7 linked regions of the Nothobranchius furzeri genome follow. The protein of the gene in region 3 purifies or fractionates together with the protein of the main gene of each other region. This does not show direct contact. Links are inferred from orthologs where the notes say so. Each region holds a gene or a part of one and is shown on either strand. Other genes may lie near its edges. The genes, in order: hnrnpub, usp39, eftud2, aar2, sart1, ecd and dnajc17.

Region 1 (4,027 bases), on a different chromosome or scaffold from region 3:
GAACAGATATGAGATTGATAGATGCACTTCTGCTACAGAATGCAGTCGTTAAAGACACAATGTGAGTGTAAAAAGGTAAATGGTAAGGCTTTAGCTATTCAGGGATGACCCTCAAACACATGTGTGAAAGGTTATATCATAAATATATGATAGAATACTTCAAACGAGGCTTTACCTCTTGCTAGTTATGTGCATTGGCACTTAAAGCCAATACAGTTCAACAAAGCTTGGATGGCGCTTCAGGGATGCTGAAGGCCACCTCGGCTCTGTCCCATCCTTACCAGCTGTATTTGTTCTCTTCAATAAATTCAAAGTAGCCCCTTCCATGTTCCTCCCGGCGTCTCTTAACACCCTTCTTATTCTTCTGATCAGCATTCGTGTCTTTGTCCGCATCTCCTTTGAAAATAGAACAAAGATATAGAATGAGGTGCTCCTTTTTGAGAGAGAGAGAGGTCGGACTGGCAGTGGGGTTCTGGCCCACGAAGCCCGTTCATTATTTACATTGCGTCTAGCATGATTACCAAGAGGAAACACCTCATAGTTACATTTAAAACAGTACAATCATATTACATGACTTGTAACAACTGGTAAGACCAGGTAGTAATTACAGCATGAACTGGCCCAAATGAACAGCAGCAGCAGAGCTTGATGGGGCTGGAAAAGGGGTCGTGAAAGGGTAAGAACCCTTCAGATACAAGTCCTCTAGTCCTAGATGAGGGTCTACTGCATCAGGGGGAGTTAACCATGCAGGGAAACCTACCTAAAGCCCAATGACACCCCCCGCTAAAGAAAAGGATGATATGTAAATAAAAATGTATGTATACCCTTTAATATCACGCTTGTATTTCAAATCGAAAACACACGATGGACGTATCAGGAAAGTTGTAGGCCACTCCGTTCTTCTGCAAAGCGCTGGGTTAGCAAGTTCAGAGGTTCCCAAGCTCATAACCCAAACTAACACCCAAATACAGCTTCAGGTCTTTTACATCAGCCTGCTGAGGCTCTTCCTTCAAACATCTGCACCTCATAACCAGACCTGATGCTAGTGTTGGCTTTTGATCCGGCTAAACACGATTCTGGACTTCACTCGTCTACACTAGATAGAATCTTTAATAATTTAATCAATCACATACAGTCCAAGACTGGGACAATTTAGTTCTTATGGGCAACTCAAAGTGGTCCAGCCCAAAAACACGCAGACATCTGGACTAACAGTTTGAAGCTGACATGCACTGACCTGCGGAAGGAAACCATGGAAACCCACACATGCACGCGGAGAACAAGCTAACTCCATGCAGAAAGGCTGGAGCTGGGATGTGAACCTTGCTAAAAGCTAAAAGTGCTACCAAATGGAGTTTGTGAAACCGTTAATCATTCAGTAAGACTAAAGTGTTATTGATAACGGGACCACATCAGAACCAGTCATATGAAGCAAGGTGACAGACTCTGGTGCCTTGCTGATCTCTGGACCAGATCAGAAGCGGTCCTTGTAGAAAACTTCATCAGTAATGTGTGCCACTCCTAGTTGATCAGAGGTAGAAAATGTAACGCATGGGGGATTTAGACCACGTTTGGACCCACTCATTAAAAAAATCTAAAAACTAAAATTGTCTTCAGTAATTTGTGTTTTTGCGACTGGAGCACGTAAGAACTGATCCTGTTCTGAAAACAGAACACGTTTTAGTTTTTATATGTATTAAAGAATTACTTTAGCCCCCTCCCGCCTCGTCTACGTGCTGTAGTTCTGAACTAGAGCTGATCAAACGTAGTCCAGATGAAGCCTTGGCGAGAGGAAAACCGACTAAAGCGTGATGGGAACCTCTGAAATGGCTAACACGGCTAGCTAGCGCAGACCGATACAAAGGAAAAACGATGCTAACTAGCGTGCTACTATCAAGCGACACAAGAGAAAAATAACAAATTAATTTCTTAAGAATTATTTATAAGCATGTTCCTTAGTTAGTCCGTGTCAATTAACCTACTATCCGTTGGTAAACTGGGTTAGAGAATCGTACATTTAAATTATTGTAACCAAGGCGTTGGCTAATGCTAACTAGCCTGAATCACGCTGACTGACTCAACATGGACGCCATGATAAGCGGTAACAACCGGCTACCCCTCCCTTACGGAAAAGCATTCAAATCTACGCTACAGTTCCCACCTCCCCCCACAAAATGACACCCAGCCACGGTTCATCCAACAAATCATTTTCATAGCGTATTGTTTCTTCTCACCCTCAGTAGCGTGATCGCCGGGCTCACCATCTTCTGTGTCAATTTTCTCCATGTCGTCTACATCCTCCTTTAGCATGGGATCCATCTCGTCCTCCTCGTCACCTTCCTCTTCCCCCTCACCCATCTCCTCGTCCACCGACACACCGTTCCCGTCGCCGTCATTCGCCGGCTCTTCTCCCTCGTTGGCCTCCATGCTCTCCTCTACCGGGCCTTCTTCTTCCTCCCCCATACCCTCCTGGATGTCCGCGGCCTGCTCGTCCGTCGCCACATCCTGAGCGGCCGAGTCTCCAGCGAGGGCCTCCTCGTCCAGCGCGGCCTGCAAGCGGTCCATCAGATCGGCCTTCAGCCCCTTGTCTGATAGGTTTCGTTTCTTGAGCTCGTCTTTTAGCTCGTTTACTTTAAGCTTCTTCACGTTAATCGTGCTCATTGTGGACGTTTAACGACAAACTACTAAAATACGTCGACAAATAAACAATAACGTGCACTTTGTTAGTAGATGTTGCTCGAAACGACGCCAAACGTTACGCGCGATCCAACCTTTCACCAACGGAGAGGGAGCTGATGAGCCAGCCTCGGCGGCGGGAGGGGGAGCAGAGCGCTAACCACTACCGTAATGATCCTAAAAGCAGCACAGTCGAGCCAGAGCCACCACGGTATTAAAACTGGAACAAGAACAGGGCAGTGCAGAGATGAGAGACGGGTGCCCCAAGTTTAAACGGGGCACCTAAAACAAGACTGTCAAACCCCTTACATCATTTACAGATGACCAGGTAGACTAATAACAACTCATTATCAATAATCTATCTAATCACACCATCTGCTTCAAGCTGTGTTTTGTTGCCTCTACCTTTATTGCGCCTGTTGCTTGAACAAAGGGCAAAACATTCAGGCTCTAGATGTGGAAAGCTGGTAGGGACATAACCCAAAGAGACACCCCCCAAAGCCATTCAGCTGTAATTGCAGCAAAAGATGAGTCCACAAAGTATTTATGCAGGGGGCTGAATACAAATGCACAACACACTTTCATATTTTTATTTGCTTAAAATTTTTGAAAACCATGTTTCATTTCACACTTATGTGCTTTTTTATGTTGATCTAGCAAAGAAAATATCAATAAAAATATTGAAGTTTGTGGTCAAAATATGTAGAAGTTCAGAGGGTATGAATACCTTTGCAAGGCACCACGTATGTATGTATGTATGTATGTATGTATGTATGTATGTATGTATGTATGTATGTATGTATGTATGTACGTACGTACGTACGTATGTATGTATGTATGTATGTATGTATGTATGTATGTATGTACGCATGTATGTATGTATGTATGTATGTATGTACGTATGTATGTATGTACGCATGTATGTTTGTATGTATGTATGTACGTATGTATGTATGTATGTATGTATGTATGTATGTACGCACGTACGTATGTATGTTTGTATGTATGTATGTACGTATGTATGTATGTATGTTTGTATGTATGTATGTATGTACGCATGTATGTATGTATGTATGTACGTATGTATGTATGTACGCATGTATGTTTGTATGTATGTATGTACGTATGTATGTATGTACGCATGTATGTATGTATGTATGTATGTATGTATGTATGTATGTATGTATGTATGTATGTATGTATGTATGTATGTATGTATGTATGTATGCATGTATGTATGCATGCATGCATGCATGTATGTATGTATGTATGTATGTATGTATGTATGCATGTATGTATGTATGTACGCATGTATGTATGTATGCATGTATGTATGTATGTATGTATGTAT
Region 2 (2,794 bases), on a different chromosome or scaffold from region 3:
TCTTGACAATATTTGTGAGTAAAAAAAACGTGTAGAAACAAAAACGTACGTGTGTTATTAGGGAAATAGCGGGCGAGCGGCATTGATGCAGGATTGCACATGCGCCGTGAGCGGTTCTGATCCATTTTGTGTCGCAGCTGCTCGCAGCGCCGCTTCAACAGTGCGATACCCTCACGAGGGACGAGCAAAATATTAAACACGCCAGAAGTCCGTGCGAGCTCACGATTGCTGATCGGTAGCTGGTCACATGGTGTTAATCGCCTCTCGTAACCCCCCGTACACTACACGATGCTCGGCGCAAAACTCGCCCCGATCTTGTGGATTCTCACACGAGTGGAAAATTGGCTCAAAAAAGTGAAAAAGTCGCACAGTGTATGCCCGGCTTTAGTGATGCTTCCTCTCTGATTGTGCTGCTGCTCTTCCGGCAGCTGGTGAAGAAGATCAAATACAAATAAAACCTAATTTAAAGGTTGTGTTGTTAAGCTTTCATTTACAAAGACTTTTGTCCTCAAGGTGGTTTATTTAGAAAACTCCACAAGGTGAAAAGATAAAACCACAAAAAAAGAACTTCTGCATTTCAAGGCTTTGTGTCGCTTTAAACAAAGTTCTGTTGCACTTCAGATCATTTAAAGATTTGAGTTGATTTCCAGAGTTGTGATGAAACGAAACGCCACCCAGGATGGGAAATACATTGCAGCACTTACTCCGCCGTGTGGCTGTTTGTGTCACTGCTCTCCTGTCTCTTCCAAATCTGGCAAGAAAAGGGCAACAATTAAAAAAAACACTAAGAAAATCCTTTTTAAATTATAATACCAAATAACAGCTTTTTAGGAAGTACGTACACACTAGAAGCAACTGAGTAGATGGTTTTAATCAATAACTAGATTATTTTTCCTCAGTAACAGGTTGGATAGTCAGTTATGTGGTTTGAAGCTTTATTTTATTTTAATTATATTCTGTGTAAAGTTTGTGATGATTGCACTCAGTCTACAATGTCATTGTCAATTATTTCCATTATGCTCTTTTCTCAGAATTTGACAAAACCTTTAAGCAAAGCTGAGAAAGAGAAGATTTGTGTTGTTTTCCTTTGTAAAAAACAAAACTATAGTTAGTTAAAACAACTGTCTGATGCCATACATTTAGAATTTAGAGCCAACAATGAGGCTTTTGTTTTGAAAATCCCAATACTTTGTTAAGCCTTTAACTAATTAAATTCAGGAAGTAAACAAACAGCAGATTCTTCAGATTGTAGTCAAATGTTTTCATTAAAGGAAAAAAGTAAATTCTTCGAACTCGCAGGTAAATACTAAGACTTATAGGGTAGACTTACTTGGATGTAAGCCTCTGACAGCGTGATCATCTGGGGAAGAATGTCGATGACCTGCAGGTCCTGCATCTCGTACCACTTCCCTGTCCCCTGGTCAAACAAAGCATTCAGTTATTCTGCCGTAGATCACTAAAACACAACTGAAAGCTTTTGTTACAGACAGAAAACTCATCAGAAACTCAGGCCACATTCTTTCATTACTTTGTGGCCCTGTGGCAGCCTCGCCTCGGTCAGTGCGCCCCAGGGCAGCTGTGGCTAAATCGTAGCTCATCACCATCAGTGTGTGAATGTGTGTGTGAATGGATGAATGATACACTGTAAAGAGCTTTGGAGTCCTTAATCTGAGAGGCGCTATACAAGTGCGGGTCATTTATCATTCTGAAATCTACTGTGACTCAGAGAACAGGACACAGATGCTACGTTGATCCCAGTGCACATGAAAAACTGGTCAGCTGTAGCTTACATGATGCAGGACATGTATCCTGTATGATCCCTCTGTGGGTTTCCCATCATGCACCACATTTGCAACAAGGTCATAAGTCGTATTCTTCTCTGTAGCTTGAGCTTCTTCTGTCAGATACTCAGAAAGGTCCACGTTCCTGTTGAAGCAAACAGCAAAGTTCAAAATACATTTAAACGTGTAGTTTAGCCTAAAATAATAAACAGCAGATGTAAGCTGAACTTTATAAATGTGTTTAAGCAAAAGTCTGAGTTAGGGATGGGCGATGTGGCCTAAAATCCATATCACGGCACATTGAGAAGTTAGCCTTGATAACTATAAATGGACCATAACTACATGTATGCACAAAACCAGAAGTTGTCCACTAGATGGGGCTGTTACGTGTATTACTTTGAGTCATGTTGTCATGTGATTCAAGGTGGTTCAGCTTCTTAAAAGGACTTGATTGTCTCCAACCTACACACATCTTTCCATCTTTATTACCAAATTTACTGACATGGAAACAATGATATCGGTTAGAGTTAGAAATTTCGATAACGATAAGTGTTCGATTTACTGCCCTAGTCTGAGTAAACAAAAACAACTTACGTGATCGGGAAATTGACAATTGTTGGATTTTTTTCCACAAAGAAATTGTTCTTGGTGAATCTTTTGATGCAAAAGATGAGGTACGGTGGCAGTTTGGTCAACTGGAATCTTTTGAGGAAATTCTCTTTGTAGGTTTTGTATTCCTGCAAACAGCATCACATGCACATGTGCATTAGTTCCATTTTATTTCCTGTTGAATAACATTAATGCACTTCAATACTTGAGTTGAAGAATTTACAGGCTGGTCTTCCTTTATGTTATTAATTCAGCATCAGTCAGTAAAGGGGTTAGTACCTTTTCTGTGGTGCCACTGAACTTGCCCAGGATGTTAAATAGAGGGACCTGTGGGATGATAAGTTGTTCCTTCTCATCCTTGTACAGAGGAGCTGTTGGGAGGTCAAGGGTCAGAAACAGGAAGG
Region 3 (3,500 bases):
GGCGCTGCTGGGGTCTGTTAAAGACAGCATCGTTCAGGGCTTCCAGTGGGGCACCAGGGAGGGGCCTCTTTGTGACGAACGTAAGAACCACGCTGAGTTTAGCTGTTGGATGTCAGAATGCTTGTTGATATGGACATACGTAGCTTAATAAATATAAAATGACAGAGTCTTGTGTTTTTTCCTCGCTCTTCAGCCATTAGAAATGTGAAGTTTAAGATCTTGGATGCTGTGATCGCTCAGGAGCCTCTCCACAGAGGAGGAGGTCAGGTTATCCCTACGGCCAGGAGGGTTGTTTACTCTGCTTTCCTCATGGTGAGGCTTGGTTTGATCCATACCTTCTAAATGCTTGCTAGCTTTGATTGAATCATAAATGTGTTCATTAGAACATCGTAATGCTTCTCCGGGTTTTAGTGCTTTAGAGTCTGCTTTGTTCTCCCAGGCCACGCCGAGGCTGATGGAGCCGTATTATTTCGTAGAGGTCCAGGCTCCGGCTGATTGTGTGTCAGCGGTCTACACGGTGCTGGCTCGGAGGAGGTTTGTCTCACGAGGCAAAAACAACAATTCTGACAATTATTTGTTAAAGTTTTAAAAAACTTCTCGTGTGTTTTCCGTCTGTCAGAGGTCACGTCACCCAGGATGCACCTATTCCCGGCTCTCCACTCTACACAATCAAAGCTTTTATCCCAGCCATCGACTCTTTTGGCTTTGAGACTGACCTTCGTACGCACACTCAGGGTCAGGCCTTTGCTCTGTCTGTCTTCCACCACTGGCAGGTGAGATTAAACACGCAACCTGCTTTCTGCGTGTTATCGCTCTGAATTTGATTTCATCAGATTTAGCTGCGATTAAAATTCAAATAGCAGCAGAAATGTGTGGCCTACCAATAAAGTGTGCACCTGAGTGTGACAGTCACTTTGCACCATGAAAAAAATCAATCAATAAATACTTTATTAATCCCAGAGGGAAATTAGAGCGGTAAACAATGTTTTGATCTCTCTGCTGTTGAACTCGTGCGTTTGTGGCAGCTCGTGCTGCGTCGTGGTCGACCTCATGCATGTCTGCCACTCTGGGCAAACTGCTTCTGATCCAAAGGACGGTGGAGTGTTGAGTCATTACTTTTAAAGCGTTATGAGGCTGTTTGTGTCTGCCTGACGTGTGTTTGTGTCTGCACTCTGTTGAGCTGTGTCAGTGAAAATGAACTCCACTTAGGCTAGATTAATATTTCAGCTTAGTGTCTTTAAGCCACGAGCTACGGAAAATATTCCCACGGCACAAATTTAAAGTGATATCGTCTTAACCGTTTTATCCCCTTGAGGTGAAAATAAATGCATCTAACTAGACATTTTAATTATTCACTATATGAATGCTAATCATATGGAGTCGACCAAAATTAATACAACTCTTGACACCTTTGGTTGGTTTGTGTTCAGATACTTTCTACCTGGACTGCACGATATTGGGAAAACCTGCGATATTCGATAATGGTGATTGATATTGCAATGACGATATTACTTGCTATAAATAAAAACTTAACTCGGGAACAAAAATAAAGCAAAGAAATAAAATAAATCATAAAAATGAGAAATGCAAAAGATGTGAGGAAAGGGAAAAGAAAATGATCAAGAAAAGCAGAATCAGCAGAACAAAGCTAACTCAGGTGTTTGCTAACCATTAAAATTAAGTTCCGTCCACCTCGGGGGCGGGAATCTAACCTATGAGAACCCACCCGATTGGCTAAATGGGTGAAGAGCTCTATTTGATTTGTTAAACATCATTCTTCCGTTTGACTGACAGAAGCTTGATGTGAAGCAAACATTTGAGCTGACCATTCATTGCGATATTTTGGTTCTTTGCGATACGCATATTGCTCATGCTGATATCGCGATAACGATATATTTACGATATATTGTGCAGTCCTACTTTCTACAGAATCTTTTTCAAGCTTTTACCAATTCAATACATTTTTAATACATCAGCTTTTCACTACTGGAATATTCCCAGACATAGTTTTATGTAAGCAGCGATATTTAGTTTTTGTTGCTGTGGGGGCCGATTGTTAAGTAATATTGTCAGAATTGCTGGATTTGATCACGTTTAGATTTGGATAATATTAAAATTAAACCAGATAGAAAAATATAAAGATGCTAATCTAAACAAGCAAAGTTAAACGTAAATATTTAAACTGAAAACTAAATGTGTGGAGCTGAATATAAATGTTAAAATATAAAATGTGGTTATCGTATTTGGGTAACGTGCAAATTTAGACTCGCGTGGATGGAAAGTGGCCGACCAAAGAAAAAAAATTCTCTATATTATGGATCATTGTTCCCGTCATGGTTCTGCCGGCGCTTTGGTAAATGAGCCACGGTTGAACTGACGGACAACGTTTTACTGTCGAGGAAGCTTTAGAGACCTTAGACGGGGGTCTCTTCACCCCGCCTTTCGATTGGCCACTTCTATTTTACATCAGTCTGAGTTAGCACGTTAGCTCAATATTTCATAGTTTTTAAGAAAGCTAACTTACCGGAATATCTAAACTTTAACATTAGTGTGGCAAGGTGGACAAACGAGGGCCCAGGCGGGATTTGATCCCCCAGACTCCCGGGTGAGAGTCATACGCTCTAACCAGTCAGCCAAAGGGACATCCCCTTGGCCAAGTAGCCAGGGCGCATGATCTATCGGGACATTGTGACAGGACACTCACACTGTCACATCAGCATTGTAACTTTAAAAATCGACATTTCTACTTGATGTCTGTTTATTTTAGGAGTTCTGTTTGGAGTTGTGTTTAAACGTTTTCAAATAACTTTGTAATTTCCTAAATGAATGCGACGCAAACGTGAGTTCAGGATTCCCACCCCATTTTAATAAGATTTATTTAGTATTTCTTTGCGATTACTTTTACACTTAGTGCCTCATCAATCACCGTTATCATCCGTAACTGTAATTACTGTCCCAACACGACGGATTCAGCTGCTCAGGGTATCCAGAATAGCTCAGAGGTTGGTGTAGTGCACCATTTGGCCACATTTCCTTAATAGTTAGATTTAAATACTCAATGTTATTATGTAATTAGTAGCTCTCACGCTTTGGTTGATTTGGCTGGACCTACTTCACGTACACGCCCACCACCCTGCTAGCAGGTCTCATCTTTCATCTGCGGCTAAATGCAGAACGGGACGATTAATATATGACGCGTTTTGTGAAGGTCATCCTGCAAACTGCCTGGGGTAATGGCTTTAGTGGATCGTTTTAAAGCTCAACCTGCCGACGTTGCATTGTTGCTGTGTTGGTCACATTTGATGGTGTGACGGTGCTTTCACATTTGCACATCTCTCCATCACGCTGATGAACGTTCTGCTGACTCCGTACCAACAGGACAGGCGTTCAGCTGAATCTCATAAAATGAAAATATCCACTCGGCTGGTTGAAAAGTTTCATGTGTTATATGAGAACAAATGTGGTTTCTGTTTGCATCACCTATCTGATCCCCCTTTAAG
Region 4 (4,072 bases), on a different chromosome or scaffold from region 3:
TTCTTGCTCAACTGTTCGGAAAATACAAGGAAAGAAGAGGAAGAGGAAATTATTCATCAACATAATCAAATTACTGATTACTTGTTGGCAAAAACTTCAGAGCAGCTACAAATCTAAGTAGGGTCTGGTGTGACTGGTAACTTCTCACAAAAACACCAGTTTAAGTATATTCACAGCACCGTGATATGACCCTTTTTGCAAAGATAGCTGATAATAAACATGAATGTTAAGTTCTCATTAGTGTTCTTGCTCTTTCTGCATTTGTTAGCATTGCTCCTTGTTATGTTGTTATAGTTTCATTGTAACCACAAATAAGCTAAATGCAAATATTCAGCATTATGCACATTTCAAAGTCTCATGTGATGTGTTTGTGAGTCAAACGTAAATGTGTCTCTGTGTGTTATCCTGTGAATTCAATGTCAGATTTTCTTCATAAAAATATTAAGAAAACAACAAAAATAATTTATATTATTCTCTTCTTAATGTTAGTTAGTATTTAGAGAGTCCCACCTTTGATAATTCCAAAAGGCCATTGCAAATTATTTTTTTAATAATTCAAAGGAACTGGTGCTTTTAAAAGAGAAGAGGAGATGGGACATTAATGCCCTCTGGTGGCACAGAGATGAACTACAGTCTAGTTCAATTAAAAAAAACTTTTTTGCATTATCATTATCATCATCATCATCATCATTATTATTATTATTATTATTATTATTATTATGAAAAACATCCCATTTTTGTCTTATTGGGGATGATGGAGGACTAGAAAGAGCAATCACAAAAATTTAATTAGCGCAAACACTTCCTGTAAATTATTACAAAACATGACATGTCTGAGTTAACAAGAGAGGAACTCGCAGCCTCTAGCTGTCTTTTTTATTAAGCTAAAAACCCAATTGAAATATTTTCGACATTTCCAAATCAGTCTTGTTCACAATCACTCCTTCCAATGGGTATTGCATAGAACAGTCCAACATAAATATTGACAATAATAATAAGTAAAACATTTTATAATGAAATTTTGCCAGAATATAATCTTACTAATTTAAAGGGCAATGTAAAATAAATGTACTGCAATGGAAAATGTTAATCCTGAGTACATAAAATAAATAGTTTTTAAACAGTCTTATAAATTTATTTTAGCGAGTTTTGCTCATTGTTGGGCTTTTTACATAGCAAAAGCGATTACAGCATCAATTCTGCCACTGCGAAAAAAATCTGCTTTAAAATCTTTTTATTGCTTCATTTTCCCAAACCTAAATTTCTAAAAAGATATATTAAGAAAAACTTGGAGGCCAAGTTGTGCAAAAGAGCGGAACTGTTCTAATGAGACACTGTTTCCACCCTGAGCATTTATTTTGTTACACAGATTTCCGGCAAACGAAATAGCAGCGTTGTTGTTTGGAACGTCCACTAGTGTAACTGTAGGTACAGTTTGTTTTTATAAGTGGACGCGTAGACCGTAAAATGGGGTTTTTCGAAATGTAATTAGTTTTTTTTACTTTATTGATAATCTTCGCTGCTTAAATAAGATACTTTAAAACCCTAAAATTAGCATTCGCGTTCAAATACGGAAACACTTGAATGATGAACAGCTCACGTAGCACCTGAGAGAATTTACGCATGTTTCTCAGTAAATATAGTTTGTAGATTAGTAGTAAACAAAGATGGCCAGCAGCAGCTCTTCGAACATGGATCCAGATGTTGCTTGGTCGTTATTTGAAGAAGGAGCTACTTTGGTTCTGCTGGGTGTTCCTCAGGGCACCGAGCTTGGGATTGACTGCAAAAGCTGGCAGGTTGGTCCTCGGTTTCGTGGTGTTAAGATGATCCCCCCTGGTTTACACTTCCTCCATTACTGCTCTGTAAACTCGCCAAGCTGTGGTGGAGAAATCGGTCCTAAAACGGGTCTTTTCCTCACCCTGAAACCAAGAGAAATTCTCCTGGCCAACTGGGATCCCAAAGAAGAAGATCTGGATTTCTCAGCCTCCAGGAATGAAGAGGAAGTGAACAGGATCCGGGGGACTTTGCGGGAGCTGGATCCCTTCTTGGGCCCTTATCCCTATGAGGTCATGAGGAAGTGGGTGTCTCTCACCGATCACATCAGCGAGAAGCTGGCCAGTGACTTACAGCCTCTGACGGGTCGAATCTGCGCCTTCAGTGATGTCGTCCCCGAGCTTCAGTTCAGACACACAAAAGACAGGGCAGAGCAGCCGAGGAACGACACGGCCTGCCAGAGCATGAAAGAGGGACTGGACAGGCTTCCCAAAATGAAGCACAGAGAAGGGACTGAACTGCGCTTTTCAGTTATTCCCAAAAAGACCTACCCTCCTGGGGCTACTCCAGCTGAGATCACGAAATGCAGCATGGACTTGAGCTATGCCCTGGAGGGGGTTCTGGAGAAGAAATACGAGAACCAGCCTCTAAACTTGCTTGGTTTGTGTCACAAAGATTAATGCACTGTTACAAGAATGCAACTGCCTAATGCCTATGCAACTAAATATCTGAATCTCAAATCTCTTCCAGGTGAGCTGCAGTTTGCTTTTGTGTGTTTCTTGATTGGGAATGTGTACGAGGGCTTTGAGCACTGGAAGAGCCTCCTGGCTCTGCTGTGCCGCTCGGAGGAGGCCATGAGGAGGAGGAAGGAGCTCTATCTGGGACTCATCACTGTGCTCTACCACCAGCTCGGAGAAGTCCCTCCTGACTTCTTTGTTGACATTGTGTCACAGAACAACTTCCTCACCAGCACGCTGCAGGTACAGCAGATGTGCAACAGCTGCACGCACAATGTTAGGGAAATATTCAAAATGTTTCTGAATCAGAAAAGAGCTGTCACTAGAGGCACAAACATCATGTTTTTATTTCTTGTGACCCTAAATTGTTTATAAATGTAACAAACAACTTGTACATTTCAGACCGGATATCCATCATTTTCCAGCATTTCCAGCCTTCATTTAAAACTATAAAAGGTAGCAGGGGACATGAATCCTTTCAACGAGGTCTTTAAGTAATATTTTCATTTAAAATCTGTCTTCAATTTTTTTTTCTTCTTTCAAAATGATTTTTAAGCAGCTACAAGATGGAAAATCTACTAGAGCAAGAATTAGGGTCCCATATTTTGTTTCTATTTGATCTCAAACTGGTGTTCTTCATTGGGGATTATTAAATCGACTTTTTATCTTGCAGGATTTTTTCCAGTTTGCCACTGGACCTGGTGTGGATGGGATCCTACAAAAGAAGGCAGAGAAGTTCAAAACCCACCTAACCAAGAAGTTTCGTTGGGATTTCGATGCAGATTTGGACGACTGTGCACCTGTAGTGGTGGAGCTGCCTGAAGGCGTCACAGTGGACTAATTCTCCCATCGTGCAGTTTCTCCTCTTGGCCTCATACCGGTTCTACAGCAGCACACTGCCACGGTTGTTCTGTGTGGTTCCAACATGTCTTCTATTGTTTGTCTTTTCATAAGGAGAAGATAATATGTTCACGAATCATCTGTAGTGATGTAGTCAGAGAGAGGAGAGGTTTGATCTGAGGTCTGGTGGTTTTTATATTAAATAAAGTCAGTAACAATTTATTTTGTTTTATTTGTATAGTTGTTTCAAAAGAACATTTACATTCTACCACATTATTGGAAAGTTTTGAACAGTAGTTCATGAATCTATGAACAAATCTAAACATGCAAGACATCATATGCGTAACATTTGTTTCAAAATAAAGCACTATTGTCCAACAGGAAAGTGGGAACATATTTATATAAAGCAACCATGTGGTCAGGTTGCCCCTGAACGTCTCCCTAGTGAGGGGCTTTCCAGACACATCCAACCTGGAGAAGACCCAGGACACGCTGGAGGGACTGCGTCAGCTGGCCAGGCACTGCCTTAGGGTTCCCTTAGAGTAGCTGGCCCAAGTGGCTGGGGAGAAGGAAGTCTGGGCCTCGGCTTAGGCTGACCTGACCCGTGACCTGACTCTGGATAAGCGGCTGCAAATGGATGGATGAATGTCAGCCTCTTTTAATTATCATGAATGTTTAACATGTCCACTAGGGGGAACTGGAGGACTGGTTTTCACTATGAG
Region 5 (4,200 bases), on a different chromosome or scaffold from region 3:
TTTAAATTATTGTTCTTTTAGGAAATTCACAAGACAAATGAAATAGTTTACACCTGTACTGATTTTCTTATACTATTGTTATATCAACACTGAAGCAAGACCATAAACTAGCAATAATCTCAAAAGAGCTACAACAATAATCATTTTCCCCTACATATTTATTTAGTGATGGTGTTTGCATTCATGCTCTTCCCACTGCCACTGAGGACGATGTACGGCGTTTTCTGAGATTTCTGTTTCTCTTGAAGCAAAGCCACCGTCCCCAGAGGTGTATCGCTGCTGCTCATCTTCTTCAGCAGCGCTTCCTCCTCCAGCTTTTTCATCCTCCTTTCAGTTTTCATCTTTCCAGAACCTTTGCCGTGGAAACGATGCGAAAGCTGCCTGAATGCCTCTTTTGGGGTGAGTCTGCGCCCAGACTCATCCACATACTCAATTTTGACGTCGGGTTTATATCCATCCTTTTCCTTGAAATCCTGCGTGAAGCCTCTGTATTCTTCCCGGCGACTGTACTTATCATCAAAGCCCATCTTGTCCTCGATGCAGTAGTTGTCATTAGGCAGGGACCCCTTTGTTGCTTTGACACGAGCCACCTTTTGCATTTGCGTGTCCAGCAGCCCTTTATTTTTGCACAGCAGTAAAGCAGCAGCAAGGCCAGAGTTCACGATGGGTTCCTCATCCAGGATAGTGGCAGAGGCTGTGGAAAATTCAGCATGATTTTGCTCCTCATCCAGGTTAACTGTGCTCCACCCAATATTTTCATCCATTTCGGAGTCTGAATCTCCAGCATCATCTTTCTCTTCTTCCTGTTCAAAGTCCATGATATCCTCCTGGTCTTCCCTGTTTCCAGACAGTCCATACGTTGGAATATCACCCAGAGTTCTGCAGAACTCAGAGGTGGCATTGAAGACAATGTTATTCCTCTTGTCAGGATCATTTTCGTCACCGCCTTTAACAAACCGTCTGATCTGCTCTGCCACCTTCTCCCCGGAGTCTTTGAGAAGCTGCTTCTGCCTCAGCTTCCTCTGTTTCTCCAGTTGTTTCTGCAGCTCCTGCTCTGCCTCATCCTCCTCAATTACAGCTGGCTCAGGAGGCGTGAAGTTTTCTTCATCACTCATTTCCATTTCTGCCGTCCTGATGTCATCAGACATTTGGGGGATTTCATGTGGCCAACGCTCGCCCTTGCCTGTATTCTCCTCTTCGTTGTCCTGTTTGCGGCCCCGACCTCGTGCTCGGGAGCCAAAGTCAGAGCTGCGAGTGTCATCAAGGAGCTCATCTGCAATTGTCTGCTTCTCCTTCTTCCTGATTTTCTTCACACGGCGTTTTGTCTTTTTAAAGCCAACCATTTCCTGAGGCGTGTAATACTCCGAAGCGATAGCAAGAGCAGGCATTTCCAAAGACTGGGCCTGGTTTTGCAGCGTTTCTTTCATAGCCTGCAGCTCCCGTTCTCGCTCCCCATCAGCAAATCCCCATGTGCTCAAACGAAAGCTCTTTTTCTTTTCACCTTCAATTTCTTCATCGTATTTTGAAAGTACAGTGCGGGGCTTAAAGGTGACCATGTCATCCACACTCTCCTCTTCTTCGTAGGGCTTGTAGTCAGGCTTTTTCTTTTTCAACTCCACATTCTTTTCTGCTTTTTCCTTGTCCACCAGTCCCACGTTCACAAGCACATCCTCCTCTTCTTCCAGGACACCTTTGTCTTGCAGGGTCAGAATGACAGTGTGGCCCTCCTTGAAGGAATCAACCTTGTGCTGCACTTTGAGGCCTTTGAGATCCCGTGAAGAATAAGAATCCAATTTACTTTGAGCAAACTCCTCTTCAACCAGATTGCTGACACCAAACTCCTCATCCATCTCTTCCAGAAGTTTGGCTCTTTTCTCTGCCATTTCTTTCTCTTGTGCCAGCTTTCTGCTTCTTTCAATCCAAGCGGCTGTGTCATCGAGCCAATCATCATCTGCAAGGTTTTTGACTTTGCCCAGTTTCTGATTGAGGAGACGTTTTTCTTTCATAGCTGCAAGCTTCTCCCTCATCTCTTTCTGCTGCTGGATGAGAACAGGGTTGATGGTCTCAGCCACCAGTGGCTCCTCTTTGGTTCCAAGTTCTTTCTTGTTCTCATTGAGTTCCAGAGGCTTTAAACCCAGCTTGGCTCGGAGTTTGTTCGTTTCCTCGACGCTGAGGGAAGCATCTCCACTTGCACTCTGAGGCTGTATTTCTGCACTGCCTTCCTCATAGCCAGGATCCAATTTCTCCCTCTTTATACGAGTCTCGCCACTGCTTTTTTCCCCTTTGCTGCGACTATCCCGTCTGCTCCTTTCCCTGGACCTGGAGCGTTTTCGTTTTTCTCGAGTTCCATCCCGATCTGAGGCATCTCTGTCTCTCTCTCGTTCTTTGTGCCGATGCTTCTTATGTTCACGACGGCGCTCTTCTGCGTCCTTATCGCGACTCTTTTCCTTGTGTTTCTTTGAAGAACCCATGATTTCGTCCGCTGTTTACAACTCCAGAGTCGTAGTTCCGTCACAGTCAAGCTGCGTACGCAGTCTCTTCAGCTGTATTGATGTGGTAAATGTCGCGAACTTTTCTCCCAACTAGGTCGAGTTAGCTTCAAAAGCTAAAGGGTTAGCCACGTCAAAACTCACTCATTTCGGGGAAAACTGCATCATATTTTCGATATCCAGCATCGGTGGAAAATACGTGGAGTTTCGTTGGTTTGTTTATTTGTAGCACCTCGCACCAGCATAAATACTAACAACCACGTTTTAAGTTTGCTACTTCGACGAAACGAACATACAACGACAACGAATTCGTTTCCGGAAGTCAAGTGGTAGAAAAAACTTTGCTCGCCCTGGTTGTATATCGCCCCCTGCTGGCTGGGGCTTTAACAACCGGACATTAACTGACAAACAAACGCTTTTAAATGTTTTAGGAAAATTGTTTGATACTTTACAAAAAGTACACGAAGTGCAACACAGCGATTTACTATCTCCTCTATTTTGGCGCAGTTCCTTTACTTTAGCTTGTTAGCTTAGCAAAGGTTGCAGCCTGCAACCTGCTGTATTTAGCAAGCCGTGATAGCATTTAATGAAGCAAAACATTTCCATTCACTTAAAATTTTAGATAAAGTTATAATAATTCCCATTATCAAAATGTATTTCTTACTTATCGTAACTGAAATAATATCTAGAAGTGCATTCTGATCAGTAAAAACACATTTTAATACTGTAATTGATATTTCAATTGGAAACCCCCAGGTTTAGAGTATTTAAAAATGCTTTTGATTCCAAACGGTCATTTGAACATTTAATGGCTGGGATGTTTATCACTTTCAGATATACATCAAAATTAATTCTTCTCAGACAAAGAGAAAAAGTCAGATGTCTAGCAATGGTTTCTGTCTACCAACAACAGCATTAAGGATTTTTTCAAATTACATTTTTCTACTTCAGCTTTTGCATTTATCTGTATTGAGCTCCAGATATCAAAAAGGGCATTGTGCTAATGTATTTGGCAGATGCTTTTGTCCAAAACGATCTATAAACAAGGATGTAACAGTACTTGCATCTGATTCTAACGATAAACTGATTAGAGGAAAGAACACTAGGCTCCGACAGAGGAGTATGCGAAAATAGTGTAGAAATGAATCAGAGTGCAACATAGATGGAAGTGCACAAAGAGATGCAGTGGAATAGAGGAAGGGATGGGTGGATCCTAGGGTAGGAGTAGGTGTAACATTATGGATATCATATCAGTTCACATGTTAATTTCACTCATTTTTATACATACTACATTTTAAATTTTACTTGAATCTGTTATGCTTTGGCTGCATGTTGGCACAGTGGTAGTGCTGTTGCCTTGCTGTATTTCAATAAATAAAGTTTGAATCAAATGCTATTTCATCAAGTTCTTAATAGATATTTTAATTATCTTTCAAAATATTTGTAATTGCATTTGTTGCGAGTTTCTCAATAGATCTATACACGAGTTTACCACTATTCTTTATTTTGTGTATTAAAAAAACCTTTGAATATGTCACCTAGGATAATAGATACGTGAATTGCGTGTTTCCCTCAGTAAGAATCGTCAGATCATGCCAGGATAAGAAAGAATAGAAGAAATTGTTACCTGGATGGCTGAAATGTCTTTTAGCACGAAACCCCCCACGATGGATTGAGCCCAAGTAATAAATGACAAATCGGCTTGCTTGTA
Region 6 (3,982 bases), on a different chromosome or scaffold from region 3:
TTTCTCACAGTTTTATAAAAAGGAGCCAATGATCCATTGAATTCCTTTGCATCAGTCATGGATCTAAGGTCAAGGTAGTGAACAGAATTAAGTTTCTAGGAATCAATACTACACACGCAGCCACGGTCCTTAAGCATTATAAATAAATAAAAAACAGCCCGGAAATGACTGTGCAGACATCTAACAGTGGTAATACAATGGGCAATCAAACCCAGCTAAAACACAATTAAATGTTACAATGGGTCATTATTATGGTAAATACTAATCTTCTGTAAGCCCAAGAAATTTTTCTGAAGAAAAACAACTGACATAGTAAACTATATAGATTGAATATTGTGTGACTCAAGCAGCTAAAAGTCAGATCAGCTCAGTAGTAACTCGCTGGAACACCACACACACACAAACAACATATGTAGATTTAAGCCGCAGGGGGCTGAAGCAACATTTGGTACTCACATCTCAAGTTTGTGCGATACAGGTTTTCTGTTGTATCGTGAAATCATTCTCCTTTCTCTCCGTTTTATGGGCTCAAGCCCTCGACTCCCATCCTTGCCTCTGCTTCTTGGACTCTATGTGAGAAGCAGACGAGCCTCACCATCCTCGATCGGTAGTCCGCAAGACAAAAGACACGCTCTTTTTATCTGTTGAGGGGAGGAGGCTACGCTAAAAAGAGCTGAGAGGCGTTGATGCGACCGTGACATGCAAACAGGGCACAGGTGGTGTTATAAAACTTCCGCAAATATGTTAACCATTAAGTTAGACTGTCTACACTAGGTACTAATCACGTTTGTCCGGAAGTTATGTAGCGATCAGGCTAATAGCTTAGCATTAATGTGTGTATACATGCTAGCATTAGCACCGACGAAAACAACAGCGCGGCTGTCATGGATACGCAGCCTCTTAACCGCGCGGGTTCGCGGGAAATGTATTTCTGAAGAACGTGTAACGCGTTCTTCACAAATCTGTTTTCCTACATTTCCCAGACATCTCTCCGGCGATGTGGTTACGTCTCTGAAATGTTTCCGTTCGTAATAATAAGAAATCATTCAGCGTATGATTTATCAGTTAATTTACTAAGTTAAAATTATTTATCAATAATAATTAAGTAATTAATATACGGTACAAAGGTTAATTTTTAAGTGAGATATTTTATAACGTACATACATTTGAAACCGGAACTTCATCGAAAGAAATGTGAGTGTCGACTACAAATTGTGGACGGACCTAAACAGTCACTGATGGCGTGCTAGCAACGTCAGAAAATACCAAATTTCTTCAGTTCTGGTTTGCAGAGATTTAAAATTAAAAGGACCTTTTACATGCACGACAAGGTACATTTAACTGACATATTTACGTCTTGGTGAGACTAGCTCTCCCCAGACATCTCCTTTATTCAGTAAATTAATCATTTTTTCTTTTCTTTTATCAGCTACAATGGATGCTCTGCAGAAAAGGATGATTCAAGAAGATACGGTTCAGTACAAACTATTCTTGGTCCAGTCAAATGGTTTATCTTCTCAGCAGACTGAAGAACGCCTAAAATGCTTGACAGAGGAGATTTTGGCTAAATTAGCTCCACTTTTGGTACAGTATATCTGGCAACATCAGCCATTCAGCCTCAGATTTCATTCAGAGAAAGGTAAGATTTAATCAGCTGCACTTAGATGATGACCTATCAGGGTGTGCTAAAACAAAGTGTATGGTAATCTATCTGACGGGTCAACTGGCTCATCAAAGTGTCATACATCTTTTAAAATGTATGATCTGATAGCGTATGCATGTCTGAAAAGCCTTGTGTTGTCAGATAGGCATACACTGTAATACGCACTTGCCAATCTGTCAATGTATGGTGATTAGACAGAACACCTGTTTATAACGCAATGTAACCATCAAATCTCACGTGTCCTGATAGGAAATATTCCTGCTCACATTGGAGGCAGCAGTCAGTTTGGAGACAACGTTGAGGACGAGTGGTTTATTGTTTACCTCTTGAAGCAGATCACAGAAGTTTTTCCAGAGCTTGCAGCCAGGTGAGACACTATAGGGTCTCAGTGTTACTGTTGCAACAGAAATGTGTTCTTGCTGCATACAACTCTATGCTGTTTGTGTGTGCAGGGTTGAGGACAACGATGGGGAGTTTATTCTGATCGAAGCTGCTGATTACCTTCCAAAGTGGTTGAACCCAGACACGAGTGAAAACAGGGTTAGCCCTTCTGATGAAATGGGACATAATATTGTGTGATTCGTTATAGCTGGATATTGGTTGAGAATTCATGTGAAAGACACTTTAAAATGCAAATTTTCCATTTGACTTTGGCTGCATTTCTTTACAGGTTTTTCTTTACAAGGGAGAGCTGCACATCCTTCCTTGCCCCTCCAAACTAAGTCCAGTGGGCTTCCCAGTTGATGTTGTTCCCAGTGTGGCAGAAGCCATAGAACTACTCTCCACTCATCCAGACTCCTGTCAGGCCAGCCCTAAGATATGCTCAGCTCTGAACAAGAGAATAAAAGGGTGAGAGGGTTTGAAAGAACACCACTGCTCTTTGGTATCTAATAGCTATTAGCCTCGTAAATGTTGTTGACACAATCTCTGCATTCCTTCTGTGCAGGAAACACATTATACCATAGCAACACGGGGAACATCAGCATGGCTCATACAAGCCCTGTAAAGTTTTAGAAAAAACATTATCTCTGTTTTTCATCTAGGTATCCAGAGAAGATCCAGAGTAACCTCCACCGGGCTCACTGCTTCATACCTGCAGGGGTAGCCACTGTTCTGGCGCAGCGTCCAGACCTGGTTGCTCCTGCGGTTTCAGCGTTTTATCTGCGGGATCCGGTGGATCTACAGGCCTGTCGAAGCTTCAAGACTTTTCCTCCTGATACGAGAATCCTCACTTTGGTGAGTGCACAAAAACACTCGTGAGTGCATAACTTTTTTGTGAAATGTTGCCTTTAATTGAAACCTGGAACTTGATATTTATTCTTTAGGTGACGTTCACCCGCTGCCTTTATGCACAGCTGCAGCAGCAAGATTTTATCCCAGATCGGAGGAGCGGATTTAGCCTGCCTCCTCGCTCTCATCCTCAGTACAAGGCTTATGAGTTGGGCATGAAACTGGTGAAGCATATTTTGTTTGTTTGTTCTTTTGCTGTTTTTGCAACAAAATATATGGATAACTTGTGTTTGGAGTCTTGTAGGATGTTTTTTAACTGTGCATCCTTCTCTCAGGCCCATGGCTTTGAGATCCTGTGCTCTAAATGCAGACTGCCGTCCTCGGAGCCAAACGCGCCAGTAAGCTGCAACCCCCAGTGGAAAGGCTTCTTGGAGAGCCTGAAAAAGAACGACTACTTCCAGGTGTGGTGCACTATTTTGTATTTAAATTAAAAGCAGACACTTGGAAGAGCAGCATGCTCAGCGATTCGCTACCATACAGTGATTCAGTGCCATTGCTGTCTAACGCAGGGAGAGCTGGAGGGTTCGGTACGTTTTAAAGAACGCTTAAGATCAGCAGAAATTTTCTTCAAGTACTCCGTTGTCTCAAAGTCAAGGTGAGAAGCTATCTTGTGTATGAAAATGTGTTAATCAAATGAAGTATGTTTTGCACAGGCATACTCTAGGCTGGCCACTCAAATGTGCAGTTTGATCTCAGCACACATGTGGCCCACCTGAGTTTTTAGCTCAGGTAGGTGGTGCCTGATAAAGTAACGTTCAAAACTGGGCTCTTTGTTTCCTAACAGAATGTTGCATCATGCAGTAGAGACCATAGCTACCTTTCATATGCCAGCGCAGCGGTGTGAACGTGCTTGATGTGTGTTTTCAGTCCTCTGTCCCCTGGGGAGGAAGTTGTTGAGGTGCTTCACAGCAGTCCTCCGTTCGACTTGGAGGAATTGAAAAAACAGCAGTCACAGCTTCCCCAAGAGGACAGTGAGTAGAAACGATAAACGATGGAAAGTCATTCTTAAGACGAGCAGATTTTTTTGCT
Region 7 (4,292 bases), on a different chromosome or scaffold from region 3:
TCCGCAACAGAAACCAACTTTCCACATCTATTCTCTCAACCTAAACCAGCCTCACAGAACGTGGGATCACCTTTTTTCAAGTCTGCGGAGCAACTGCACATTTTTGCTGGAATTACAAGATTTGATGTTATCTTAACAGCTGACTGAGTTGATTTTACGGAGGGGAAAATCTAAATACACATTCAGATAACTAAAATTACTAAGATCCGTTAAGATGCTGCCTTTAAAGCATTTTAAATAAATCTCCATGACAGTTCAGGCTTTGTTCCCGCTGCACAAGAGCAACAGTTATACGACTTCCATGAACCTCCATGAACCATGACGGGATAACCATCTCAGACCGCTCTTAAACATCGTAAACACTTTATCTTAATTGCATTACTTTGTTTTAAATTACAGCTAAACAAGGCAGGGCTAAAAGATTGTGAATTGCAATAATTCTGGTGTAAATTTCTATTTCATCTCAGTTCACGATTTCTTTCCAACCAAGATTCAGCACAATATGCACAATGTACAGTAGTGTAAACATGCCAGGAAACAACATCATACAAACAAGGCATTAAAAGCTATCTAATACAGTTACAGCAGAGCTTCCCACCAGTGAGGCTGATAAGTTGCCTGATCTCTGCACATCCTCCACCATTATCAGCAGAATAAAGAAAATATGAAGACAGGAGTCGAGGACAGCAGCAAGGAGAGGGATGAATGACAAAAATATAAGAGAAAAGATGAAAACAAATGAAAGGAGGAATAGAAAATGTGTTATTATATAAATAGTGAAATGCTGCAAAAAGGGTTATTAGTTATTAAAAGGCCTTTAACATAGACCTGTCTGTCAGTTTTGATATTTGAATCTAACGTAGATCTGTCGATAAAGTTGTTTCAAATTGAAAGACGGCCTCACTGGTGGATGAAACAATCTTAGTATCGCGGCTCAAACCAAAAACGATCATCAGATATTGAGAACTGTGTGTTTGCACTAAGCTACAACTCTGTATTTGTGAACGTTGTCTGAAGAAACCAGCGTGTTTTTACTGAAAACAGCCACACTAGTAATAGCTGAATAAACCAAGTGAGAGCTTGTGTGGTCTTAGACAGCATTTCACCGAGCAATCTGTGGTAGGTACAACTCCGATGGCAATCCACTTTCAGTCGTTAACTCAAAATCTCTGACACGCCTGAATTCCTATCAAGAACAGCATTAGTGATAATAGAAAAGCTCCAGAGGACATACACAGAAGCAAAAGTCCCTACACCAAAGCTGTAAAACACTGCATTTACGTAGAAGTTGATGTGACTGAACCCACATTAACTGGCCATGGGATGAGTTTCCTCCTTTTCTCAGTGATTAACAGCATGTTTGAAGATGTGAACCAAACAAATGGGATAATTTGACCATCTGATGATATTTCTCACAGATTTGATTGATTTCTTTTCTTAAGCCCTGCTGATTTAATGTAAGGCACAAAGAGACAAATCCACTATCTCTCTCAGCCATCAGCAGACCTTTCAGCAGCAGCCCTCTCAGTTCTGGTGCTTCAGCTCAGCCCAAGCCACAACCGCCGACTTCCTCAGGGATAACCCTCTTGGGAGGAGAACACTTTGAAATCTAATTAAGAAATTAACTTCCTCCCTTGTTTTGGCAGGGATTTTAATATCCCTTCAGGCCAGTGGATTTTTGATAGAGAGGTGGTCGGAGGAAAAAGGCAGGATTCAGAACAACATGATTAACCGCTTAAGGCTGGGAGTAAAAAAAAGAGAGGGAATGAAGAAGGGTGGTTTGCAATGACCTGAGAATCAGAAGTGAAATTTGACTTCTGCTATTTTTGCAGATGAGGGTCATCTTTAGAAAATACTCATCTGCTCCTCCAAGCTTAAATAAGATAAATCAAAATAAGACTAAGCGTGTTGATTTATATACATCTGTGCTGTTTAACATTCACTGTTTTTAAACGTCATGGGGACGTTTGAGTCGCACACAAGGAGCTCACTGGTGCAACATCGCCATCTCGTGTCCATTCTGTGGTACTACAACAATGCGAATTTTAGCCTTTAGCTAGTTTGTCTGTTTTGTGTCCTTTGTTTCTATCATATCGATTCTTACCCATCAGGTATTGGACCTATATGCATCACGTTTGCTCTGAGTGATAACACGCACCATGTTTACGGTAAATTATAAGCACAGACGGAAAGAAAATGGGAATACAAGCAGTATGCTAACATACTGCTAGCATTCTGCTAAAAACAAAAAGCCTTTATATTAAACAGCCTTTTTCCTCGCCCACTGAATAAAAAATAGAATAAACATTTTCCAACAGTGTCTAACGATCTGCTAACAGCCAGAGGCAAAGCTGGTATTTGTTTATTTATCATTCACTTACGTACCTCTTTAGATGTAGCAGTATTTTCAATACCGAGTAAACCATAGAGGTCCATCTGTAAGATTTCCTTAGCTTTCCCAGACATTTTGTTAAACACAAACTACTTTAACATCAAAGATAAAAGGAGGGGATAGATACGGTTGTTTACAGTGTTTAACAGCGGGCAGCGTTAGGGTTATTTGTGTTTGCTGCAGCTTATTTGGGGCAGCACGAGTTTGTTTGACGTTTACAACCTTTCAACCCGGAAGTGCTATGCTTGCTGGGAAATGTGGTTGTTCGCTGTATCTCTGTGTCTGGCTTTTTGTTGCTTTGATAATTGATTATCTCGGTTTGTTGGTTTGAGTCTCTAACTTTTAAATAAAACCATACAGCTATAATTTTAATGTTATTTTCTCAAAAATATATACACAGGTGTTTTGTGTTCATTAGGCAAAACTAAATTGTTTTAGGTTAGATTTAGTGGTTTATCAGACTGACATTTATGAAATAATTACTTTTTTTAATAATTTGGGGCTCATCATTCTATAGTCAGTAGGATTATTCAAAAGAGGAAATTTCATAAAGACGTTACATCTTTGCTACAACAGTTCAATAGACTGAACAGGTTGTTTGTAAGTGATGGAAATTATGCATCACTTTTTATCAACTGTAAACCACCCCTGTGGTTTATGGTTGGTTTAAAGCAGCAGGGCCTGCATACCTTAGAGTCAACCAAATGCCTTCCAGAGTAAAACCATCTGTCAAACAGAGGAGGTTTGGTCCTAATTGTGTCACACAAGAAAACAATAATCCCAGCAGTAAATCTGCAGTAGAATGACGGCACAAGCAAAGAGCAAAGATGCATTTCATCATTAATGTTCTTTTGGCAGCACACTCAACCAGTGTTTGTAATTAGCTGTTTTATTTACCAAAACATAGAAAACCTTTTTATCAACACATAGATCAATCCATTTAAAAGTGTCAATTTTAAATGTTTACATCCTTCTTGATTTGATGATCATAAAAGGTAAAAATCTGAACAGCAAAGACTTTTTCTCAAAATAAAGAAGTAATAAAGGCATTGGTAAATATTTTTGTAAGTTTGTGAATGTTTGATGGTTTACATTGATAATTGCTGTTTTGCAATAAAGAAATGAAATGTTGGTTTTACTACAAGTTACTGGCAAAATTCAACAAAATTGAACCTCATTCAATTATTTCAGTAATTTCATTTAAAGGTGAAACTAATACATGAGGTAGACTCGTTACATGCAAGTCCAGATATTTTAAGTCTTCATTTGTTATAATTTGGATTACAGCCCAAAATTCAAAATCTCAGACAGAATGTTGTGAAAAGGTTCACGCTCTAGGTGTCACACTTTTATCAGCTAATGAATCCAGAACACCTGCAAAGGGTTCCTGGGCCTTTAGATGGTCTCTCGGTCTAAACTGGATTACTGAAATAAATGAACTTTTTTGCACCATATTCTAGTTTTTGCTGATCTGCATCTCAAAAAGTTGGTGTTTTGTCTGGAAAAAGCTTTTATTTTCTAAAGTTTTGTTTTTTATTCTTGGTCTTCTGGTTTTTCCAGGATTTCTCCAATAAGCACAATAAAGGGAAGTTTAGTGAATCCTCTAACTTACCCAAAGAAGGTTTTGCAGATGCATCCAGAGGTTGAGGGCCAGTTTATGTCCATAAATATTTTGGCCGTGCACTTTCACAGCATTAAAAGGGCACTAAACAAAGATGTTGACTTTGATGATTACGTGATTATAGCTGCTGTGTTTCATGATCCTGTTCTTCAAGCTCAGTTAGTGTTTATAATGAGTTCATAATATTTACTCAGTGGTCTGTTTAAATATGGCGTTCTCATGAGTGAGCATTATTTTCTCTGGAAAAGCCTGGAGCTGTGGCATGCTCAAGTGTTTTTG

Evidence for each region.
Region 1: the proteins of eftud2 (region 3) and hnrnpub fractionate together in Homo sapiens (co-fractionation; 3 studies listed by BioGRID, with this or other methods). This does not show direct contact. The link is inferred for Nothobranchius furzeri from reciprocal best matches to the Homo sapiens genes EFTUD2 and HNRNPU.
Region 2: the proteins of eftud2 (region 3) and usp39 purify together in Homo sapiens (affinity purification with mass spectrometry; 4 studies listed by BioGRID and IntAct, with this or other methods). This does not show direct contact. The link is inferred for Nothobranchius furzeri from reciprocal best matches to the Homo sapiens genes EFTUD2 and USP39.
Region 4: the proteins of eftud2 (region 3) and aar2 purify together in Homo sapiens (affinity purification with mass spectrometry; 5 studies listed by BioGRID and IntAct, counting the BioPlex papers as one, with this or other methods). This does not show direct contact. The link is inferred for Nothobranchius furzeri from reciprocal best matches to the Homo sapiens genes EFTUD2 and AAR2.
Region 5: the proteins of eftud2 (region 3) and sart1 purify together in Homo sapiens (affinity purification with mass spectrometry; 4 studies listed by BioGRID and IntAct, with this or other methods). This does not show direct contact. The link is inferred for Nothobranchius furzeri from reciprocal best matches to the Homo sapiens genes EFTUD2 and SART1.
Region 6: the proteins of eftud2 (region 3) and ecd purify together in Homo sapiens (affinity purification with mass spectrometry; 5 studies listed by BioGRID and IntAct, with this or other methods). This does not show direct contact. The link is inferred for Nothobranchius furzeri from reciprocal best matches to the Homo sapiens genes EFTUD2 and ECD.
Region 7: the proteins of eftud2 (region 3) and dnajc17 purify together in Homo sapiens (affinity purification with mass spectrometry; 4 studies listed by BioGRID and IntAct, with this or other methods). This does not show direct contact. The link is inferred for Nothobranchius furzeri from reciprocal best matches to the Homo sapiens genes EFTUD2 and DNAJC17.

The regions. Positions count from the first base shown.
Region 1 is NC_091742.1:29,998,752-30,002,778, forward strand, and holds the start of hnrnpub (heterogeneous nuclear ribonucleoprotein Ub), read right to left. Parts: upstream 2,801-4,027; 5' UTR 2,662-2,800; coding exon 2,235-2,661; intron 397-2,234; coding exon 282-396; intron 1-281. UniProt on the Homo sapiens protein: DNA- and RNA-binding protein involved in several cellular processes such as nuclear chromatin organization, telomere-length regulation, transcription, mRNA alternative splicing and stability, Xist-mediated transcriptional silencing and mitotic cell progression.
Region 2 is NC_091757.1:46,431,441-46,434,234, forward strand, and holds the end of usp39 (ubiquitin carboxyl-terminal hydrolase 39), read right to left. Parts: coding exon 2,670-2,794; intron 2,519-2,669; coding exon 2,376-2,518; intron 1,927-2,375; coding exon 1,791-1,926; intron 1,418-1,790; coding exon 1,331-1,417; intron 752-1,330; coding exon 701-751; 3' UTR 501-700; downstream 1-500.
Region 3 is NC_091745.1:13,626,204-13,629,703, reverse strand, and holds part of eftud2 (116 kDa U5 small nuclear ribonucleoprotein component), read left to right. Parts: coding exon 1-80; intron 81-193; coding exon 194-312; intron 313-439; coding exon 440-534; intron 535-619; coding exon 620-773; intron 774-3,500. UniProt on the Homo sapiens protein: Required for pre-mRNA splicing as component of the spliceosome, including pre-catalytic, catalytic and post-catalytic spliceosomal complexes. Component of the U5 snRNP and the U4/U6-U5 tri-snRNP complex, a building block of the spliceosome.
Region 4 is NC_091755.1:59,903,686-59,907,757, forward strand, and holds aar2 (protein AAR2 homolog), read left to right. Parts: upstream 1-1,470; 5' UTR 1,471-1,667; coding exon 1,668-2,433; intron 2,434-2,523; coding exon 2,524-2,753; intron 2,754-3,183; coding exon 3,184-3,351; 3' UTR 3,352-3,572; downstream 3,573-4,072. UniProt on the Homo sapiens protein: Component of the U5 snRNP complex that is required for spliceosome assembly and for pre-mRNA splicing.
Region 5 is NC_091744.1:19,554,503-19,558,702, reverse strand, and holds the start of sart1 (U4/U6.U5 tri-snRNP-associated protein 1), read right to left. Parts: upstream 2,801-4,200; 5' UTR 2,472-2,800; coding exon 159-2,471; 3' UTR 1-158. UniProt on the Homo sapiens protein: Plays a role in mRNA splicing as a component of the U4/U6-U5 tri-snRNP, one of the building blocks of the spliceosome. May also bind to DNA.
Region 6 is NC_091752.1:30,506,690-30,510,671, forward strand, and holds the start of ecd (protein ecdysoneless homolog), read left to right. Parts: upstream 1-1,182; 5' UTR 1,183-1,331; intron 1,332-1,429; 5' UTR 1,430-1,434; coding exon 1,435-1,639; intron 1,640-1,912; coding exon 1,913-2,030; intron 2,031-2,115; coding exon 2,116-2,203; intron 2,204-2,333; coding exon 2,334-2,512; intron 2,513-2,706; coding exon 2,707-2,899; intron 2,900-2,988; coding exon 2,989-3,117; intron 3,118-3,228; coding exon 3,229-3,354; intron 3,355-3,462; coding exon 3,463-3,548; intron 3,549-3,820; coding exon 3,821-3,924; intron 3,925-3,982. Other genes in the region: protein FAM149B1, read right to left, coding at 457-503. UniProt on the Homo sapiens protein: Regulator of p53/TP53 stability and function. Inhibits MDM2-mediated degradation of p53/TP53 possibly by cooperating in part with TXNIP. May be involved transcriptional regulation. In vitro has intrinsic transactivation activity enhanced by EP300.
Region 7 is NC_091758.1:33,993,561-33,997,852, reverse strand, and holds the start of dnajc17 (dnaJ homolog subfamily C member 17), read right to left. Parts: upstream 2,801-4,292; 5' UTR 2,467-2,800; coding exon 2,386-2,466; intron 1-2,385. UniProt on the Homo sapiens protein: May negatively affect PAX8-induced thyroglobulin/TG transcription.